4 linked regions of the Ovis aries genome follow. The protein of the gene in region 4 purifies or fractionates together with the protein of the main gene of each other region. This does not show direct contact. Links are inferred from orthologs where the notes say so. Each region holds a gene or a part of one and is shown on either strand. Other genes may lie near its edges. The genes, in order: MEAF6, BRD1, JADE3 and ING4.

Evidence for each region.
Region 1: the proteins of ING4 (region 4) and MEAF6 purify together in Homo sapiens (affinity purification with mass spectrometry; 5 studies listed by BioGRID and IntAct, counting the BioPlex papers as one, with this or other methods). This does not show direct contact. The link is inferred for Ovis aries from reciprocal best matches to the Homo sapiens genes ING4 and MEAF6.
Region 2: the proteins of ING4 (region 4) and BRD1 purify together in Homo sapiens (affinity purification with mass spectrometry; 5 studies listed by BioGRID and IntAct, with this or other methods). This does not show direct contact. The link is inferred for Ovis aries from reciprocal best matches to the Homo sapiens genes ING4 and BRD1.
Region 3: the proteins of ING4 (region 4) and JADE3 purify together in Homo sapiens (affinity purification with mass spectrometry; 3 studies listed by BioGRID and IntAct, with this or other methods). This does not show direct contact. The link is inferred for Ovis aries from reciprocal best matches to the Homo sapiens genes ING4 and JADE3.

Annotation. Positions count from the first base shown.
Region 1 is NC_056054.1:12,340,580-12,346,523, forward strand, and holds the start of MEAF6 (chromatin modification-related protein MEAF6), read right to left. Parts: upstream 4,043-5,944; 5' UTR 4,035-4,042; coding exon 3,945-4,034; intron 2,751-3,944; coding exon 2,635-2,750; intron 1-2,634.
Region 2 is NC_056056.1:225,164,893-225,170,727, reverse strand, and holds the start of BRD1 (bromodomain-containing protein 1), read left to right. Parts: upstream 1-1,961; 5' UTR 1,962-2,651; coding exon of another isoform or gene 2,652-2,658; 5' UTR 2,659-4,187; coding exon 4,188-5,632; intron 5,633-5,835. UniProt on the Homo sapiens protein: Scaffold subunit of various histone acetyltransferase (HAT) complexes, such as the MOZ/MORF and HBO1 complexes, that acts as a regulator of hematopoiesis.
Region 3 is NC_056080.1:57,873,829-57,879,897, reverse strand, and holds the start of JADE3 (protein Jade-3), read left to right. Parts: upstream 1-2,011; 5' UTR 2,012-2,062; intron 2,063-2,446; exon of another isoform or gene 2,447-2,524; intron 2,525-6,069. UniProt on the Homo sapiens protein: Scaffold subunit of some HBO1 complexes, which have a histone H4 acetyltransferase activity.
Region 4 is NC_056056.1:209,613,291-209,617,458, reverse strand, and holds part of ING4 (inhibitor of growth protein 4), read right to left. Parts: intron 3,222-4,168; coding exon 3,150-3,221; intron 1,447-3,149; coding exon 1,280-1,446; intron 1,099-1,279; coding exon 984-1,098; intron 818-983; coding exon 712-817; intron 500-711; coding exon 352-499; intron 91-351; coding exon 29-90; intron 1-28.

The sequences.
Region 1 (5,944 bases), on a different chromosome or scaffold from region 4:
TATGTACTCCTTCGTATAGATTTCAATAAACGAATTTGTACTAAATAATAAAATAAACTTTTAGCATAAAAAAGTGACAGTACTAGACCCCAATACACTGGGGGGTTTTTGGGTTTTAAGTCCATGCATCTACAAGGATTCTAGAGAGAGGGAGACAGAATGAAAGGGAAAGAAGATAAAAAGGGACAACTCTGCTTTCAGAATGCTAGTAACAAATGCAGAAGGAGCAGTGAAATTAGAATCATCATTTTGCAACCTCCTTTATAATACCTGATTCAGGTAAGAATCAACAATGGACACTAAACCCAGAGACACAAACTGGGGGAGGAGCATATCCACACTTCTAAAAAAGTATAACCTCTGAAATTAACTGTCAATTATGAAGAGAAAAAAATAACTTTTGCAATTGTGAAATTACATAATCAAACTTAGCAGCACCAACAATGGGCCAATCTGTCGTTTTGAGCTTTCTGATAACAGAAAGGCAAACAAGGACTTCCCTGGTGATCCAGTGGTTAAAACTGCATGCTTTCACTGCAGGAGCACAGGTTCGATCCCTGGTCAGGGAACTAAGATCCGACATGGCATGGGCAGTCAAAAAAAGAGAAAACAACTGGGAGGTAAACAAGAGGTACATAATCAGTAATGCAACATTTTTGCCAAAAGTATTTAAAGGATCCCTCATGAAGTCACAACAAGAAAAACCTACAATTTGTACATTCTACAAGATAATGTCATAAACAAGCTCACCACTGAAAATGTTGCTGCTGCTGCTAAGTCGCTTCAGTCGTGTCCGACTCTGCGACCCCATAGACGGCAGCCCACCAGGCTTCCCCGTCCCTGGGATTCACCAGGCAAGAACACTGGAGTGGGTTGCCATTTCCTTCTCCAATGCATGAAAGTGAAAAGTGAAAGTGGAGTCGCTCAGTCGTGTCCGACTCTTAGTGATCCCACTGACTGCAGCCCACCAGGCTCCTCCATCCATGGGACTTTCCAGGCATGAGGACTGGAGTGGGGTGCCATTGCCTTCTCCATGAAAAGGTTGGGAAGATCCTAAATTAAGAGACTAAAGACACATAACAGCCAAATGCAATGCACAAACACTACCTGGTTGAAAATGAGCTAGCAATGCATTTTGGGGGCCATTAGGGGAAATATGAATAAAGACTGTATATTAGATAATACTATTAATGTAGTGCTAATTTTCTAGGCATAATTGTGGTTACGTTAAGAAAGATGCTCTTATTCTTAGGAGGTATCTGCTAACACAATTAGGGACGAAGTGTCCAAGATCTGCTTTTAACTTTTGAATGGTTTAGCAGAAAGTATAATACACATATATGGAAGAAAGGAGAGATACAACTACAGAGGGGTGGCAGGAGGCAGATCTTTGTGGTGACAGAACAGTTCTATATCTTGACTGCGGTGGTGGTTACAGGAAGCTACCCACTTGATAAAATGATAGAACTAAACTTACACATTGTACCAAGGTCAGGTTCCTCCTTTTACCATTGTACTAAATGGTTACATAAAACCCAACCACTGCGGAAGACTGAGTGAAGGATATATGGAACCTCTCTGTATTGTTTTTTGCCTATGTATCTATAATTATTTAAAAAAATTTTTTTTTTTAATTTTAAGTATAGATATGGGGATGTATGGGTTTCCCTGTTGGCTCAGATAGTAAAGCATCTGCCTGCAATGCAGGAGACCAAGGTTCGATCCCGGGGTCAGGAAGATCCCCTGGAGAAGGTAATGACTACCTACTCTAGTATTCTTGCCTGGAAAATCCCATGGACAGAGGAGCCTGGCAGGCTACAGTCCGTGGGGTCAAAAAGAGTTGGATACCACTGAGTGACTAAGCAGGCATGCCCGCATAGAGTGTGTGCTTGTAAATTACAGAAAGGGAAGAGAGAGAAATCAAACGTGACAGCAAGCTAACTGGTGATCGGTGAAGGAGATCAAGAGATCATGAACTATTCTTTCAATTTTTCTCTAGATTCGAAAATTTTCAAAAAAAAATTAGAACATTTTTAAGAATAATATTACTAAATAAACCATGGCACAGTTGGCATATAGGTAGGGCAAATCCTGTGAGGGTGGAACTCTTGACTGATTAAAATGTACAAAATAGCAAGAGGCATGCTGGTATATAAAGTATTATATGCTGTATTCCATTTAAGCCTCACACAACCCTGTGCCATTGGCCAGACTTCCCCTACTGTGTAGGATTTGTCCAGGGTTACTCAGTGAGGCAGGGGTTGAACCAGAGACCAAGCTCGAATGCAGACCTCTGTCCACCCCACCTTACTACTGCTTCCCTCCAAAGCTACCGCCAAGGACATACATAGTCCTGATCACAAATACAGTTGTTGCTGTTTAGTCGCAAGTCGTGTCAGATGCTTTGAGACCCCATGGACTGCAGCACACCAGGCTCCTCTGTCAGTGGGATTTTCCAGACAAGAATACTAGAGTGGGTTGGCACTTCCTTCTCCAGGGAATCCTCCTGACCCAGGGAAGGAACCCACACTTCCTGCACTGGCAGGCGGGTTCTTGACCATTGAGCCGCCAGGGAAGCACCAAATGCAAACATTAGTAGGGCACAAAGCAACACTACAGGCTTCTGTCACTCACTTTTGGTTGGTCAGATACCGATCCCAGCCACGAATAATGTTGCCGTACATCTGCGTGTCTTCCAGGTAGCTTCCTTCAAAAGCATAGATCTGTCTCTCCAAGTTTGCCAGTGTTTCCTGAGGTGAAAGACAAGGAAACAGTTGATGCCTTTTACATGCAAGCATTAAGTCGGACCAAACTGACATCCTGGTATCAGGCTTAGAAATTCAAGTTCAACGACACCGAGTCAGCCTTGTGGAGAGAGGGATGACATGGGTAGGGGCAGGCTGTTTCAGACAAGACAGTCTAGACCTGTCTTGCTGGGTGCCTTTAAGAATAAAATGAAATAGATTCTGTCCCTAGAAAAATGTACACCCAGGCAAAAGTCTGTATATACTCAGAGGCTTCGTGGAAACCCAGCTGTCAAGAAACCGCGGAGGAAGAAGGTGAGCAGTCTCCACTCCCACGCATAAAAGACACCGCTACCGGAGAGGGAAGGGTGAGCAGCCTTCCAGCGCCAACTCGCTCGCCTCCCTGCAAGCTCCGAAAGGCCGCCTGCACCGGGCGGCCGGTTGCTATGGAAACCTGGAAGGGCAGCTTCAGGTAAGATGCGCCTCCCGGTGCTCCAGCCAAAAACGCAAGGGGAGGGACGGCTTAGCCACCAGGGAGCAAGGGGCCCCAGGCGCGTGTCACAATTTCTAATTCCCTAGGCTGAGTCCGCTCCCCCTCACCTGTCATCTTCTAAGAAGTCCCCGAACACATCCCACGCCTGCCCATCAAAAGCCCCATCCAACGGATCTAATCCTATTCCCCGCAAAGACATTAACGCCCCTCCATCCTCCAAAGGTCAGAATGGATGTGTGGGTCTCCCCTCCCACATCCGTCTCCTACCCCACCTCCCCAGAGCCCACAGCCAAGCCGGAGCCGATCTCCTCCACCCTGCCGGCACGCTTGCCGCCCAATCGCTCCAAGAGCCCAGGGCCGCCCGCCCTCATCCAGCCCGCGGGGCTCGCGGACCCTCGCCGCCGCAGGCTCCCACACGGAAGCCCCCACCCGCGGGCGCCAACCTCCCTCCACGCCTCCGCCGGCCTAGCCTCCCTCCCCCTCCCCCGCTCCGCGCCCCGCCCCCGGCTCCCGGCGCCAGATCCGCCCGGCCGGGAAGCCGAGGCGCCGGCGGGCCGCGCAATGCGCAGCCGTCCTCAGGCCGGCGGACTCCCAGCCGCCGCGCTGCGCCCGGGGAGTAACGAACGGCCCGGAGCGGCCGGGCCCGGGCCCGGAGACGGGGGCAAGCGCGGGGGTTTCACCCGGGCACCCCCGGTGCCGGCCCTCACCGCCAGCTCCTGCTTCCGCTTCACGAGCTCCGCCAGCTCCCGCCGGGTGTCGGGGATTTGTGGCGGCGCCGCCTTGTTGTGCATCGCCATGTTGGGCTGAGGCGGGCGGCGGCGGCGGCAGCGCTAGGCTGGGGGCGGTCCCTTCGCGCCACCGCCCGCCAGGGGGCGCCCGCCGCCACACTGCGCCTGCGCGCGCGGCTTCCGGAGGCGCGCTGGGCGCCCCCCAGAGCTCCCGCCGGTGGGCTCGCAGGACCCCAAGGGTGCCCTCTGCCCTAGGTCCCGGCCGCATTTCTGCACTGCAGACTCACCGTGTCCAAAATAAGACTTCTCGGAAGTCTCATCAGTGAATGACTTTTAGTGTCCGCGGAATTACTCGAGTCAGAAACCTTTGTACCGGCCTCACCCTTCTTCACCCCCTTAATCCGATCCAAAACCAAGTCCTCTGGACTTGACTCGAGCAGAGCTCGTAAATCTGTTTCCTTTTGTCTGCCACCTCCCTCATTCATCCAGGCTCTCGTTTTTGGAGACATTCCAACAGCCTCCTGTTTCTATCCTTAGCTCGATTTAATCCATTATCCAAAGTGGTGCCAGGATGATTTGTTTTTAGAAAACAAATGTGTCACCTTCTAGGTAAAAACCTTTCAGTGGCTCCCTATTGCCCTTTAGAGAGACAAGTATGTGCGGTGGTTAAGGGCACAGACGAGCTGGAACAGACACCTGGCTGGTGGCAGAAATGGAGGAGGAGGAACAAAGCTGAGGTCTGGGAGATGATGATTCTGTGAGTTTTCAGACACAGAAAACAAATTTACCATTACCAAAGGGGAAAGAGGGCAAGGAATAAATTAGGAGTCTAGGATTAATATGCAGGCACTACTACATATAATATAAATAACCAACAAGGACCTACTCTATAGCACAGGAAACTATACTCATTGTATTGTAATAACTTATAAAGGAAAATAATCTGAAAAGATTCCATATATGTGAATCGCTTTTCTGTACACTTGAAATTAATACAACATTGTGAATCAACAATACTTCAATAAAAAACTAAAATTTAAAAAACGCTACCTCTACCATTGATGAGGCTGGGCCACCTTGAGCAGGTAGCTAAATTTCACTTGTCTCAATTTCCTCATCTGTATAATGGAGGTAATAATAGTGCATACTTAACACAATTGCTGTAAGTCTAATGTTGTTATGGAAAGCTTGGCCTCTCCATACACTAATGCCAAATCAAATCTTGGAGACAAAGTTTTGAGTGAAGTAGAAAAGGAAGGCTCTATCACTTTGCCAGGCAAAGGAAGACAAACTGGGCTTCTGTCTCGAAAAACTATGTGTTCCACCCTGGGAGGATGTGATGAAGGGTTTTATAACAATAATTCAAAACTACCCTCTAATGGTGGTGCTAAGGCTTCTCCTTGCGGTGGCTCCACTTGCTACGGAGCACAGGCTCTAGAGAGTTCAAGTTCCAGTAGTTACCGCACGTGGGCTCAGCAGCCGTGGCTCCCGGGCTCCAGGACACAGGCTCAGCAGAACCCGGGCTTAGCTGTCCTGCAGCATGTGAAATCTCCGTGGACTAGGGATCGAACCCATATCTCCTGCATGTTAAGCAGTTTGAGCATAGGTTGGTAAAGAATTTCCAGACACACAGCATTCCAGCAGGGAGCGAGTATAAGAATGAAGAGCAGAGATAAAGTAGGCACCGAGAGCACAGTGGGCCAACCTCCTAAGAGACCAGGGAGAGTTGACGGCTTTTGTGGGTTAATAGCCAATTTTTATAGCCTCAAGCCAAAGAAAATGCCTGCTGCAAGGTTGGTGTTAGGTGATTGGTTGGGGTGCTATAAGGTGTTTGCTGAAGTGGGCATCTTTGCCTGACTGGGGGTCAGGAAGTCAGGGAGTCTTCTGAAAACAAAAGGGGCTCAGTTACAAAGGGGCTCAGTCAGCTTCAGAGGTGACCTTGGTTCTGGGCTCCGCTTCTGTGGCCTTGGGGGCAGGAC
Region 2 (5,835 bases), about 16 Mb from region 4:
TGACTCCTGGACCGGCCCCCTTCATCCCCTTCCCACTCCCCTCCCAGGCTCCCCTCCAGCACCCTCTCAGATGCCCCCAGTCCTGTGTCCGCGACTCCCTCGCCCGCCCAGCGCCCCCCTCTCCTGAAGCCCGCACCCCTTAGATGCCCCCGGCCGGTGTCCGGTGCCCCGTCGCCCGCCCGGCGCCCCCCTCCTGAAGCCCGCGCCCCTCAGATGCCCCCGGCCGGTGTCCGGTGCCCCGTCGCCCGCCCGGCGCCCCCCTCCTGAAGCCCGCGCCCCTCAGATGCCCCCCGCAGCCCGTGTGCCGTGCCCCGTCGCCCGCCCGGCGCCCCCTCAGATGCCCCCGGCCCGTGTGCGGCCCCCGGCGCCCGCCCGGCGCCCCCCTCCTGAAGCCCGCGCCCCTCAGATGCCCCCCGCAGCCCGTGTGCCGTGCCCCGTCGCCCGCCCGGCGCCCCCTCAGATGCCCCCAGCCCGTGTGCGGTGCCCCCTCAGGTGCCCCTGGCTCGTGTGCGGTCCCCATTGCCCACCCGGCGCCCCCTCAGGTGCCCCCGGCCCGTGTCCGGTGCCCCATCGCCCGCCCGGCGCCCCCCTCCTGAAGCCCGCGCCCCTCAGATGCCCCCGGCCCGTGTGCGGCCCCCCTCCTGAAGCCCGCGCCCCTCAGATGCCCCCGGCCCGTGTCCGGTGCCCCATCGCCCGCCCGGCGCCCCCCTCCTGAAGCCCGCGCCCCTCAGATGCCCCCGGCCCGTGTGCGGTGCCCCGTCGCCCGCCCGGCGCCCCCCTCCTGAAGCCCGCGCCCCTCAGATGCCCCCCACAGCCCGTGTGCGGCCCCCGTCGCCCGCCCGGCGCCCCCCTCCCGAAGCCCGCGCCCCTCGGGCGCCCCGGCCCCAGCGCCGGCGCGCGGCCCTGCCCTCCGTCCCCTCCCCCGGCGGCGGCCGCGCGTCATGGCGGCGGCGGGCGGGGCGCGTCTCGCACGCAGCGCGCCGGGCGGAGCGCTCGCCGCATTGTTTGCTTCGCTGGGGAGCGAGCGGGCGAGCGAGCCGGCCCTGGCGTCCGAGCAGCCCCGCGCCAGCGCCCCGCCGCCCCGCCGCCGCCGCCGCCCGCCGCCCGCCGGCCGGGCTCCCGCGCCGGGCCTCCGCTCGGCCCCGCCGCCCGCGCGAGCCGCCGCCCGCGAGCCCGCGGCCGCCGCGCCGAGCCGGGCCGGGCCGCCGCCGCCAGGAGCCCGCGCCCAGAGCGGCGGCGGGCCGGGCCTGCGCGGCCGTTGGCGGAGGAGCCGCGGGCGCCATTAGCGCCGCCTCGGCCGCGCCGGCCCCCGCGCCCGCCGCCCGGCTCCCGCGGCCGCGGCCCCGAAGGTGAGTGCGCCGGGCGGGCCGGGGCCGCCGCCTCGCCCGCGGGCCGCCGCCGCCGCCGGCCTCTCGGTGCTGGGGCCGCCGCCATGTTTGGGGCCGCCGCGGCGACGCATTGTCCGCGGGCGGCGGGGCCGGGGGAGGCCGCGGGGCGGGGGCGGCGGCGGCGGCGGGGCGGCCGGGGCCGGCGGGCGGGAGGCCGGCCTGGAGAGGCGGGGAGGGAGGGCGGCCCGGAGGCCCGGACGGGAAGCCGGGGGGCCGGGGAGGGAGGCCGGGCGGCCGGGGAGGGAGGCCGGGCGGCGTGGGAGCTCGGCAGGGAGGGAGGCGAGGCCGGCGGGCGGGAGGCTGGACGGGGAGGGAGGCCGGCCGGGTTGAGAGGCCGGGGGGCCGGCGGGGAGGTCGGCCTGGCGAGGCGGGGAGGCCTGGGGGGCCGGTCTGGAGGCTGCAAGGCCAGGGAGGGAGGGCGGGCCGGGTTGAGAGGCTGAGCGGCCGGCAGGGAGGGAGGCCGGCCGACGGGGAGGCCCGGGGGGTCCGGTCGGGAGGCTGCAGGGCCTGGCCGGGAGGCCGGGGGGCCGGGGAGGGAGGCCGGGCGGCGTGGGAGCTCGACAGGGAGGGAGGCGAGGCCGGCGGGCGGGAGGCTGGACGGGGAGGGAGGCCGGGCTGTGGAGGTGCCGAGGCCGCCCTGCCCGCCGCGCCTCCCGCCCGGCGAGGTGGGGGCGGCCCGGGGTCTCGGCTTCCCCGGCCGAGCGTTTGCCCGAGGGTCGCGTTATGTAACGGACGCGCTGGGCTTGTTGAGCCCGGACGGCAAACTTCCTGTTCCAGGGCCGCGCGGACCCGCGCGGCCGCCCCCTCCCGCGCCCGCGGCGGGCGGCCTCCGGGCCCCCAGGAAGAAGTGACCTGGTTGTAATTTACGGGGCACGCGCTACAGGCGGGCCCCGCCGGAGGAGCCGCCCACCGCCCGAGAAGGGTCGCGGGGGCGGCGCTGCATGCCGCCCCTGCGCGAGGGTGTTCGTGGCTTTCCTAGGGCCAGGCGGGAAAGGCGGTGTTGGAAGCTGAACCGGTCTTGGGTGCCGCGTTCCTCTCTTGTGGCCACAGGGCTTTTCAGGGGGCATTTATCAGAAGGGTCTGGAGGGTCTGTGAATGGCGTCCACGTGGGAACCTTTGTCCTGCACGGAAGCTCCAGCTGGACGGAGGTTGGAGGTTTGGAGCCTGGGGTGTAGGGGAATGGTGGCCTGGTGAGGTGGTTTGCAGAGTGACCAGCGCCTTCTTGTCCCTGTCACCATCGAGCTTTCAGATTGCAGAGCTGCCATGACCAGTAAGTGCTGTCCTTCTTGTAGCAAGTGGCCAGATACAAAGTCTCGGTCACTTCAGGAGCATGTGGGTTTTGAAGAGCCGGTTATGGTTAGTGCTGTTGGTACTGTGCTCTGGAGGAGAAAATTACACGTTTGCCTTTCCTCTGCTGAGTAACCAGCTGTGGCTTCTGCCCCACCCCAAAGGACCCCTGAGGCTGCACGGGGGGCCCTCCTGCAGGCTGGGGTGTGGACAGCAGGGGGACTTGCTCCTCTCCCCCGGAAGGGCTGGCAGGGCCAGGGCCAGTTGGGGGGCAGCTTGGCTGACTGCACCCCAGGAGTGCAGGGCTGTGGGCCCCTGGGATGTGGAGATGCAGGTGGGTTAGGGTTGGTTTGCCCACGGGCTCTCAGGCTCCCCTTTGTAGGGCATTCTTGTCAGATTTCACAGAAACATTTCTGTTTCACAAAAGAGAAGGAAAACCACAGTCGGAAGGCTCTGTCTCAAGGAATGCATCTCAGGTCGGCTGCGATTTCCTTTCAGGTGTGACAGCGCAGGCCGCTGTGTGGCGCCTTTTCCTGGCCGACTCCCCAGGGCCTTGTCCGGCGGGGGGCCTTGGGCTCCACCGGGCACGAGTGTCAGCCAGTCTCGTCAGCATCACTCTGCTTCCTGTCAGTGGCGAGTGGTGGTTTGGAGTGGGGAGAGGGCACTGTCATCAGTTCCTAAGGTGTTACCCTGCTTGGCGGGTGCTGGACCAGAGTCCGGGATCGTCAGGAGAGGGAGACTGGAAGTAGAACTTGCTGGTGGCTGATGGCGGATGTCTGACAAGAGCAAGTGCTCGAAAGTCTCCATGGCCAAGGCTTTAGGCGCTTGAGCCTGTGCTGCACCCGGTAGAGAGGAGGAGCACTCTGTGGATGGCGAGGGGGTCTCTGGGTTGCCCTCACTGTGACAGGATGATGGCCCAGCACTGTGGTCAAGCCAGCAGCGAGAGGGTCCCTGAGGGGCAGGCAGGTGGCTGGAATGCGGTGGCCACTTCCGAGGCCCTGCAGGGGCTGGGTGGGGTCTCCTGGGGTGAAGCCTGCCCAGGCCAGTATGGGGCTGCCCTCATGGGTCCTGGCGCGGGCGGTGGCCTGTGCCTCAGCATGGCTGTGCAGGGTGCGTTCGTGGCGACAGTGGCGGGCTGAGGGCTCTCTCCTGAGCAGCAGCGGGGGTCAGGCAGTGGCCAGAGCCTGCAGGAGTGCAGCTCTGTGCATGTACTGTCTTGGGCTCGGGACTGTGACCCGAACTCGCGAGGGGTGTGGATCCAAGCCGACCAGTGAGCTGTGGGCGTCGGCATTCTGGAGGGACTTGTCCCCGTGTGTGCCTCTGGGGGCCCTCCTGACTGCCTGCCTTCTGCTCTGGTCCTGGGAGCCCTTGGGGGGCAGTGGCCTGGTGGCAGTGGCTGGTGGCGGTTGTTGAGGTGCCTGCATGAGTCCAGGATGAGTGATTTTGGGAGCCTCGGGCAGGTTACCTGGGAGTTGTGTTTGGATTTAGTGCCAGTTGGTTCGCTCTGCGCACATGTGCTGGGTGGTTTTCACCTCTCCTGTCTTCTGCATGGCGCTCACGTGTTGTCTGTCTGTTTCAGGGAGTCAGTGCCAAATGAGGAGGAAAGGCCGAGGTCATCGCGCTGCAGCGAGGCACCCTTCCTCCCCCGGCAGCACCAAGCACTCCCCCACACGAGAGACCCTGACCTACGCTCAAGCCCAGAGGATGGTGGAGATCGAGATCGAGGGGCGCCTGCACAGGATCAGCATCTTCGACCCCCTGGAGATCATCCTGGAAGATGACCTCACCGCCCAGGAAATGAGCGAGTGCAACAGCAACAAGGAGAACAGTGAGCGGCCGCCCGTGTGCTTGAGAACTAAGCGGCACAAGAACAACCGGGTCAAGAAGAAAGGCGACGCCCCGCCCGGCGCCCACGGCGCGCCCGCCTCCGCCAGCGCCCTCCCTGAGCCCAAGGTGCGGGTGGTGGAGTACAGCCCCCCGTCGGCGCCGCGGCGGCCCCCCGTGTACTACAAGTTCGTGGAGAAGTCAGCTGAGGAGCTGGACAACGAGGTGGAGTACGACATGGACGAGGAGGACTACGCCTGGCTGGAGATCGTCAACGAGAAGCGCAGGGGCGACTGCGTGTCGGCCGTGTCGCAGAGCGTGTTCGAGTTCCTCATGGACCGCTTCGAGAAGGCCTCGCACTGCGAGAAGCAGAAGCAGGGGGAGCAGCAGTGCCTGATTGACGAGGACGCGGTGTGCTGCGTCTGCATGGACGGCGAGTGTCAGAACAGCAACGCGATCCTCTTCTGCGACATGTGCAACCTGGCGGTGCACCAGGAGTGCTACGGCGTGCCCTACATCCCCGAGGGCCAGTGGCTCTGCCGCCACTGCCTGCAGTCCCGCGCCCGGCCGGCCGACTGCGTACTCTGCCCCAACAAGGGCGGCGCCTTCAAGAAGACGGACGACGACCGCTGGGGCCACGTGGTGTGCGCCCTGTGGATCCCCGAGGTGGGCTTCGCCAACACTGTCTTCATCGAGCCCATCGACGGCGTGCGGAACATCCCCCCCGCGCGCTGGAAGCTGACCTGCTACCTCTGCAAGCAGAAGGGCGTGGGCGCCTGCATCCAGTGCCACAAAGCCAACTGCTACACTGCCTTCCACGTGACGTGCGCCCAGCGGGCCGGCCTCTACATGAAGATGGAGCCCGTGAAGGAGCTGGCCGGTGGCGCCGCCACCTTCTCCGTCAGGAAGACCGCTTACTGTGACGTCCACACGCCCCCCGGCTGCACCCGCAGGCCTCTGAACATTTACGGGGACGTGGAGATGAAAAACGGTGTCTGTCGGAAGGAGAGCTCGGTCAAAGCGGTCAGGTCCACGTCCAAGGTCAGGAAGAAAGCCAAGAAGGCCAAGAAGACGGCCCGGGAGCCCTGCACGGCCCTGCCGCCCGTGTGTGCGCCCTACATCCCCCCGCAGAGGTGAGCGCTGCAAGGGGGCGCAGGGTCTGTGCGGGCCCGCCACGTGCCGTCTGCCCGGCCCTGACGGCCCCTCTGACGGGGGGCCTTGTTCCCGCTGCCCTTGGCGGGAGCGTGGCTGTTGTCAGAGACTCGGGTCTGAGGCGGGGCCGTGTGTGTGTGTCTGGTCTCCTCGAGGACCGGGGCCGTGTGTGTGTGTCTGGTCT
Region 3 (6,069 bases), on a different chromosome or scaffold from region 4:
GACCCAGCAGAGCCACACACAAAAAAATTTACTGTTGTGGGCAAAATACATGAGCAGACATTTCACTAAAGAGGATATACAAATGGCAGATAAGCATATAAAAAGATGTTTAACAACATCAACTATTGGGGAAATGCAATTTAAAACAAAGAGGTATCACAACACATCTATTAGAATGATAAAAATAAAAACATAGTCACTATACCAAATGCAGGCAAAGATATAGAGAAACTGGATCTCTACATTGCTGGTGGGAATGTAAAATGGTATAGACAGTCTGGAAATTTTTGGCAGTTTCTTATAACACTAAACATACTCATACCATCCAACCCAGTAATTGCACTCCTGGGTATTTGCCACAGAGAAGTTAATGTTTACACAAGAAACTCTGCATGAATATTCATCGAAATTTTATTCTTATACACAAAAATTGAAAACAACCCTAATACGCATCCAGGTGAATAGTTAAACTGTAGTACATCCATAGCAATACTACCACTCAGCAATAAAAAAGAATGATCTATTGATATGTGCAACTACTTGGATGATTCACAAGGAAATGATGCTGAAATGAAGAAAAGCCAGTTTCAAAAGGTATGATTCCATTCACATGTGATAAAATTGCACAGTTCTATACATACAGACACAGAAATGAGTGCATTTAAAACTGGCGAAATCTAAGTAAGGACTGTGGCTTGTACCAATGTCAATATCTTGGTTATGTAAGATATTACCATTGGGGAAAATTGGGTGAAGAGTACTTGAAACTGTTTTGTAATACTTTTTTTTTTTTTTTTACAGATCCTGTGAATCTATAATTATTTCAAAATAAGTATAATATTGAGGTAAGGCTTCCCTGGTAGTTCAGCTGGTAAAGAATCTGCCAACAATGCAGGAGACCTGGGTTCCTTTCTTGAGTTGGGAAGATCCCAGGAGGAGGGCATGGCAAACCACTCCAGTATTCTTGCCTGGAGAATCCCCATGGACAGAGGAGCTTGGTGGGCTACAGTCCATGGGGTCACAAAAAGTCGGACACGACTGAGCGACTAAGCACAGCACAGTCCAGCAATACTGAGGTAAATAAAAGGAGGATAATAAATAAATGAGGTAAGTCTGAAGGGCCACGAATATTTTAGAATTCACATATTTGCACATTATGAAATAGAACTACATCTTTAATACTGAAAACAGACAAAATACAAAAAGAGCCCACATTTTTGTTTAGCCTAGAAATGTGAATGAAAATGACAATTATGAGTTCATGGTAAAGAGTTTGCTGCTTAAACATCTGTATGAGTCAGTTTTCATCCAGAGACAGACACACAAAGACGCACACACAGTCACACTTATTCATTCATTGATTAGAAGACATTGGCTTACAAATGTGGGGCAGGCAAGGCAAATCCAAAATCTATAGGGCACACAATCAGAAAGGAATGACCAGACCCATCCAGATTATCCAGAATAATCTCCCTCACTTTATGTCAACTGATCAGGAGCTTTAATTACACGAAAATACCTTCACAGCAACACCTCGGTTAGTGTTTGACTGAATAACTGGGGGCTGTACCCTAACCAAGTTGACTCATCAAAAAGCCACACCTCATAAACCACTTGTGCCTGCAACTGAATAAATTTATTCTGTGAATAGACACTTCGGCTTGAATATTATTATAGGTGTAATTCAAGCGCAAACGGCTTAAATCAATAGTGACCGACAACAAGTTGCATACAGGAGGGTCCACTTATAGAACTTCAGAGTTGAAAGGGGCCATGAAAAGCTTAGGTAGCATTTCAACACAACCCAGGCACCTCCCCATCGTCGGCGTCTCCAGCCCTCAGAGGTGGTGAGGCGCCTCCAGCCCTCAGAGGTGGTGAGGCGCCTCCAGGCTGCAGCGCACCCAGCAGGAGCTGAGAGGAACCCACCTGGAGCCCCGCGCGGCGCGTGCGGGAGCACTAAGTGGGCGGGGCCTCAAGGCGCGCGGCGGTGGCAAACTGCGCCCGGCCCGCCAGAAGAGCGCGCGGCGGTCAGAGCGGTCGGACAGCAGGGAGCCAGAGACGGGTAGGGCGAGCGCGGCCGGCGGTTGGCTGCGGGTGGGGGGGCGGTTGGAGTGGAACGCGGAGGTTGGGGAGACGGTGGAGAAGGAAGGAAGGGGAAGAGGCGGAGCGTGGGAGCGCACAGTGTCAGGAATACAATAGTGTTCCGCGCCGCTTCAGCCGCTGCCGCCGCCGCCTCCTTCGCTGCCGCCGCCGCCCAACCGCCTGCCCAGCGCTGAGGCCTGACGGGCCGGGCGGGCGGGCGAGGGCCGAGGGCGGGAGCTGAGGCGCGGGGGCCGGCCCCGGCGGATCCGGCGGCGGGGCGGAGGGCGGGGGGTAAGGGAGGAGATTAGGGGGCAGGTGCGAGGGAGGGGAGAGAAGAAAGCGAGCGGTTCAGGGGGCGGTTACCACCTCTACCAGACTCGCCCGGCACGTTGCCGGGCCCTAGTGTGGAGCCGGGAAGGAGCAGCGGTCGCGCCGCGCCAAGGTAGGCGCCGCTGACGCTGGACGCGGGGCGAGCGGGTTTGGGGGGCGTCGCGTCGGGTGGGTAGCGGGAGTGGCGGCCTCAGGGAGTGGAAACGGGCGCCACGGAGCGCAACGTCCCAGAACAACCTCGCCGCGCTCCGGGTCGGTCCGGCTCCACACGGCGGTGGCCTCCGGCGTCCCCAGAGCCTTGGAGCCGAGAGCGTGTGTGGGCTGAGGTAAAGTGCCCGGTGGCTCCTCCGCCGGCTCCGGGCAGCGCTGGGTGGCCGGCCCGGGGGCGTGGGTGGTGGGGGCGGCCGGCCGGGTTCGGCTGCGGCTACACTCGGGCAGAAATTGAGCGCCATAACTGTTGCGGCCGTTTCCTCCGGTGCCCCCTCCTGGCGCCCCCTCCCTCCCGGTTCACTGCCTGCTCTCGGGGCTCCCGGGGTCCGACCCGCGGCGTGAGGACGCGCTCTGCGGGCCTCCTGGGGCCGGATGCTCCAGGGAGCGGGGGCGCACCCCGACTGTTTCGCTGTTGAGGGGCGGGAAGAACCGAGTCCCAGAGACTGGGGGCCGGGCGGTGCGGGCGGCGGCGTGGTCCCGCCGTTAGTGAGCCCCGGCGTCCCGCGGGCTGACGAACTTTCCCTCCCCCTCGCGTTATTGTTCCAGAGCTGCCGGTCCGGGCCGCCGCGACCGGAGAGTGCCGGGCGGTCCGGGGGGGCGGGGGTGGGAAAAACGGGAGGGCTTTCCGAATCTTACGGGAAAATTTTTCCCACAGCTGGGCACGGAAAACTTAACTTTTCTCAGCAATTGAGTTGGTTTTATTCCCCACGCCATGGTGATATCGATTAAAGAAAAAAAAAAAAAAAGTCTGCCTCCAATCTTTTCCTCTCGCTTTTCTCGAGCTACTGCTTCGGTGAAGTCCGACTTTAAATTGCACGCGGTAACCAACCTGCGTTTATTATTTGTGAGGGGGGAAAGCGGGGGGAGGGACCTCGAGTGTGGGACCATAATGGTGGTATGTGAAGGCATGTTTAGAAGTTGGTATCATTGTGTAGCCCTGGGACATATGCAGCTCCTAAGCATTTGGCAAGAAACTTGTTTGGCCGCTTCTCTGACTTTCTGAGATGCAAGGAAATCCATGCTCTCAGATGTTCATGGGGTTGTTTTGGATGTGAGATCCGTTGATCTGTAAAGCTGAGGTTGAGATCCCCGTGTCCGCCCCCCTACCCCGCGGGCCTCCTCGGGCCCCCCCCCACCCCCCGCGCGCCTGATTGTGTAAGAAATCAAAACCGTGTTGATGGTGATTCCAGTGGCCTGGAGGGAAAGGCGACCTCATTCTCTGATAAAGATAACTGTCTGCTTCTCTCTAAACTGGCAAAGTAATGGAAAATAATTTAGGTAAAGACTGGTTGCACAACATCTTGGCTTAGTTTAAGCAACCCAGAATCCACTTTCCCAGAGTAGTTCTCTTAAATACCTTCCCTGCAGCCATTTCTTGTCAGCCTGGGGGGTGAGGTGGCGGGGGGTGGGGGTGGCGGTGAGAAAGGAGTCGGCCTGAACAAAGCATTCTATTTTTATTTAATACTTTCATAACATCTGTAAACAATGGGAATGTGGATCCTAGGCCTCTGTACCCTTTAAATAGTGTAGTTCTCATGCTTTTATAGCATCATGTGGGTAAGTGAAATAGATGTAGTTTTTCCCCCTCTCTTCTGTTTATAGCCTAGGAGTAAGGATCCCACCTGCTAACGCAGGAGACTTGGGTTTGATCCCTGGGTTGGGAAGATCCCCTGGAGGAGGGCATGGCAACCCACTCCAGTATTCTTGCCTGGAGAATCCCATGGACCAGAAGAGCCTGGCGGGCTGTAAGTCCATAGGATCGCAAAGAGTCCGACTTGACTTAGCAGGCAGGCATTCTATCTACCTTTATAACGTGTCATTTTCTTTTTCATCTAAAGGGAGCTCTGAATTTAAATACTTGAACTATAAGAGGGTAAAAACTCTCTCCAAGGGTGAAAGAATTACATGAGATCTTCTCAGTGTTAGCTGCCATCACTGACACCTTTCCTTCAACTGTGCTCTTCTCTACAGTTTTGTTTGCTTGAGAAGTGCTTGTAACCTAGTCTTGGTGCCTTGACAGAGTTTCTTGCATTCTTCGTCCAGTCATTTCTGAAATATTCAGGGGTCCTTGTCTGGTTCTAGAACCTACACTTTCATTCTCCCACTTTTCTGAGTCGTGTTGCTGTGAGTTGGTGAATCTTGGTCACAGGTAGGGGAGAGTGAAGAAGGGCCTCTCAGTCCTTCCTGAAGTGTTTGTGATCAGTTGGCCACCAGGAGTGACTTGGAAGCAGCCTGAGGGGCACCTGTGACCCACCTTCTGGCCTGTAGAGAAGGTTCCCAGGAGCAGGACAGATGATGGTTCATGGCTCTCATAGTTGAGTTGTATGGGTTAGAGAAAGTTAAAATATTTAAGAACAAAGGATGTTGAAGGCTGTAGGTTGAATATGAATTTCTTTGGTAATGCTTGTCTTTTTTCTCCTTTGTGTTCCACCAACTCTAACAACCCATTTCTCCCCTAAGCTACACAAAGCCATTTCTTCTTTATACATACTTTGAGGTATGGCTGGAACTAAGCAAGTATTTGGGGGGGAGGCACGAGGCAGAAGGCATTGAGTGCTTTTGAAGACGTGGCATTACAGAGGGCTCTAATAAGCCTTGATCAGGGATACAGAGGTTGAACATTGTGTAGGACATAATGCATCTATCTCCTCATAGAGCTTACACAAAACAGGAGCTGAGGAAGGTAGAGATCATATGCTGGTTTACATTAAGAAAACCTCATCCAAGGATAACTTACTATGATCTTCATTTGTCTCACCTTATAGGTGAGAGTTGAGTGTTGGGTGACACCCATGTGGCACTCTTCAGAAATGGCTAATAGGGGGACACTTGAATGATTTCAAGTTTCTATCTGTTGTCCTACTTACAGTGGCTAGGAAAGCTGAAGCATTCTGTTTTGAGGAGTGGGGAAGGTCTAGGATGAGTAGGTAGAAGTGATGAATGAATAAAAGGGTGCTAGCAAGTGGTCGTTACAGACCAAGTAACTACTGCTTTGAGTTTTCTGTTTTCTGGAATCTTCGTGATTCCCCCAGGGTTATTTTTTCTTACTCTCTGTAAGTCTCTCCATAGACAATAGCAGCAAAGCTCTTACCATCAGATCTGTCTCTGTGCTGCTCTTGTGTGGGTGGAACAGTGAACAAGAAAGTGTGAGGAGAATTTGCCTGGCCCCATAACTGAGCTTGGGGAAGGGAAAGTAAGGACTCAGAGGGTAGCTGACTGAAGAAAGTAGGGTGCTTGGTGTGGGGAATAGTACTGGAGCTTTGTCCAATAGGAGATACCTATGCATTCATTAGTACTCTTCAAGCAATAAATAATTTAATCTCTGTCCCAACCCAGAAGCGGTGGCTGAGCCCTGTTGCCCATGGGATTTTTGTCCTTTGATATTGGCTGATAGGCAAGGAAACATGACTCTGGAGTGTGTTTTTTGGAACAGGTAACAAGGTAATA
Region 4 (4,168 bases):
TCCAGCTCCGACCACAGCGCCCACTCACCATTTCCCCCGAGGCTTGGTGGTCAGCCCCACGCAGGCAAAGTGGAACCACTCAATGGAGCACTGGAAAAGGAAGACGGTGGAGGAGCAGAGGGCAGGGGGCAGGCTGGGGCCGAGGAAAGCAGAGAACCCCCCCACCCGGAGTCCTCAGGAGCATTCCCTTACTCCATCCGGCGGGAGGATTCTTGAAGGGTCCAAGGCCAACCACCTCCAACTCCCTTCCTCCTGTCCTGAGGTCCCACTCTTCAGCCCTTACCCTCTTCTGGTACCCAACTCCCTTCCTGTCCCCCAGAGCCCCCCGCCCTGAGGCAAACCGGTTCTTACGTCAGGGTTGTCACAGCCAATCATCTCCCCGTAGGAGACCTGGTGACAAAGGCAATAGGTGGGTTCGTTGGGATCCACAGGCATATCCAACACATCAGAGGGGTGGACACTGCCAAAGGTCACTGAGGGCATCCCATACTCAGGGCTTCTGCGTGCCAAGAGGGAGAGAGAGTATCACCTGCAGGAAGGGACGCTACAGCTTGACGCTCAGAGTGGCACGAGGAGATCCCTGTGAGGCTAGTGGTCTGTGGCTTCCCCTCTGTATCCAGCAGATACCAGAGTGATAGAGAAGGGGGCGAGGGGCGGGGCGGGGGCAAAGAGGAGCCTGTCACTTGGCAGGGTGCTCCCTGACTCACTCACGTGCGCACAAGTTTTAACTTCTTCTGGGCGGCCTTGGGGGCTTCTTCGTCGGAGTTTTTCCCTTTGGAACGAGCACGGGCAGCTTTCTTCTCCTTTTGAGTCCGACCTTCCAGGGAAGAGGGGAGGGGCAGCCAGAAGGCAGAGGGACAGAAAGATGGGTTAAGGACCCCTCCTCTCCTCCAACGTAGGGGTCCTCCCTTGGAGCTGAGGGATGGGCTGGCTGCCCTCTTGGAATCTTCGCTCCAACTCTCATGGCCCACCCCCCTCCTCACTCTTTTTGCCTTTGCTGGAAGAGCTGTCATAGTCACTTGACTCAATCTGCTTCTCCTTCAGATCAGCCTCAAAGCGGGCCAGGTCTGTGTCCAGTCGCCGAATGTGTTTGTCCACCTGGGTGGGAAGGAAGGAAGGAGAAGGAAGAGCTACCAGGCTGGTTCCAGTAAAAGCAAACAGGCTAAGGCAGAATCCATGCATCTCCCAGACCCCAAACAGATCCCAGCACGCTAAAGGAGGGGTGGAGGACCCTGAGGAATAGACGGGAGGTAGTGGGGAGCCATGGGTAGGGCCATACCATCTCATAGGTCTGCATGGCAAGCTGCACCTTGTCATCACCAAACTCCTTGCACTTGCCATAGGCTTCCTGGATCTGTCTCAGAAGGGCCAATTTTTCCTCAGAGCTCCGGCTGCGGGCGCTACTCATATATTCACTGGCCAACTTGTCAATTTCAGCCTTCAGGTCTACAACAGAGACAGGGCTGGTCATAATGGCCCCCGAGTGGCAAGATTAAACACACTTCCTCCTCTTGCTCCTTGGACCTTTTGCACTGACCATCACAACCTCTGAATTAAAACACACTCAACATTCCTAGGTACTGTGCCACATACTCAAGCGATGCAACATGGCCACAACATGTGCTGTGAAGGCACCTTTGGTTGCTGGAGACATTGCTAGCATAGTTGAAACTGGACTTATGGAAACACAAGGAAGGATTCTCTGCATGCTGCACTAATATGAAGAACATTTCTGTCAATGTCTGAAGATGCTTCTTTGCACAGCTTGCTGCTTCTGTCTCAAAAGCCATCTGATTTCTCATCTCAGAAACATTCTGCGATAGCTCTGAGAGCTGCAGACCAGGCTGAGTCATCTGCTGCTGCTCTTGACTTCCAGGGTCTGTACGTCTACATCTCAGTATTGAAAATTAGGCCCGAGTTCACTAATGGAACAGTTCTTCTGCTTACTGTCCACCCTGTTTGGTTCATCATTTGCAACTTGCAAATATTCTCCATCACTTTTTTCTCCTGTGTGTTCATTTTAGCTATTGCTCCAAACATTTTACTAGGAGAAGGCTGGTGATGCCCCCAAACACCGAGACCATAGATGCCTACTGCCTAATATTACAGCACTCAGAGAAAATGTGCACGGAGACAAAAGCATGCCTCCCAACACGGTTTAGCAACAAGTAACCACAGCGAGGACGTGTGAGCATACTAGGTTTATGCTCTGCTTTATTCCAGGCCCTTGAAGGAAGTTGGAAAAACATGTATGTGGTTCAGTCATCTCCCAATGGGTCTTTCTGTGCATGAACTCAAGAGCCAGAACTATATTACAAAGCAAGGAGCTGGTGGCTGGCATTCAGCAGGGAGTTCTCAGGGGCCTGTGTCCAGGATCTTAGATAATATTCATTTGTCCATGAGCAAACTGACCCAGAGTAACTCAAATCACAGCTTTAGGCATTCTAACACCCCTGGGCAGGGATACATAAGGATACACCTACATATCCTTCAGCAAGCATGGTCGATAGCACCAACAGAGACCTTCGACTATGAGAGACAAACTCGCCCACCGCAGTGTAGCCTCAGGCTCCAAGTCAATGTCTCAATGCAGCCAAACTTAATCAATGTCCAAGGACGGCCACAGATGGCACCTAATGCTTCTGTAAGGTTGAAGAATATAGTGTAGAGATTCTGATGTTAATTGCTGCTTTTCCTTTTCTTTTTTCCACTTTCTTTCTAACATCTCCTCATGCAGCAAAGCTGCTGTGTACCAATGTGAACTGTAGTCTAAAGCCACACTGAATTTTGTGACAATAATGTTAACAGCCCAGTGGAGTAGAAGCATTCTAGTTAGTCTTCCTACAAACATATCGAACATGGAGAACACAAATGATTCCAGGATTGACTGGTTTTCTCACTTTTCCTGAGGGAGATATAAAAGAGCACAGCATCTCTAAATTCTTGTGGCATTGTTACAATACTCCACGAGTTATGAAAAAGCTGACACAGAAACACAGGTCATCATTACTCTCCTTTTAAGAATTGCAAGAGAGTGAAAGAGAAGACAAAGCAATCTAGATCAGACCAGGTGATATTGGTAACACCAAACAGGAGGGGAGACGATCACACACACTCACTCGGCACCGGGCTCCTTACTCTGCACATACCCTCTGTTCTTTGGTCCAGGTCCCTCATGAGCTGGAAGTTTCTCTGCAGTTCAAAGGGCAGGTTTTCAATACCTGGGGAGAAGAGGAGAAACTAAGACTCCCTGGACTTCCTAAGCCCTATAGCTGCATTGGGGGGCTTCCCTGGTGGCTCAGATGGTAAAGAATCTGAGACACAACCCCTGGTATCCCACATCCCCTGGAATGTGGGATACCCGGGTTCAATTCCTGGGTCGGGAAGATCCCCTGTAGAAGAGAATGGCAGGATTCTTGCCTGGAGAACTTCATGGACAGAGGAGCCTGGCAGGCTACAGTCCATGGGGTTGTAAAGAGTCAGACACGACTGAGTGACTAACACACACACACGCATAAACCCTGCAGAGAGTCAGGCGACTAACACACACACACAGACACACACACACAGAGACACACACACACTAGCTACTTTTAAAAAATAGGTCCAAAGAGCACTTGGTTATCCCTCCTTCAAACCGTTGGACTATCTGTGACAGCACTCATCATTGCTTTCTCAGGAGGAGCCATGTCCACCGGTCTCCACAGCGAGCTCCCCATCTCTGCACAGCTTTCCCACCCTCCCCTCTTCAGTAACTTTACAAATCAGCCCTTCCCTCTCCATGCCCTTGGGAGTTCCCTGGTGGTACAGTGGCTAAGACTTCATGCTCCTAATGCAGGGGGGCTCGGGTTCAATCCCTGCTCAGAGAACTAGATCCCACATGCTGCAATGAAAGATCCCACATGCTGCAACTAAGGCCTGGCACAGCCAAATAAGTACTTTTTTTTTTTTACAAAAAGATCTTTTTGCCCTCAACTTACAAATACCCTCTTGGTACCCTCCACTGATCACACACACACTTCCAATCTGCTCTCCAAACAGTAGCCAGAATGTTTTTTTTTTAAATGCAAATCGGATCAAGTCACTCTCCCGTTTATAAACCTCCAGTCACTTCCACTGCAATATTCCCAAGTCCTACTCTGCACTTTCTGGCCCGTGCTGCACACCA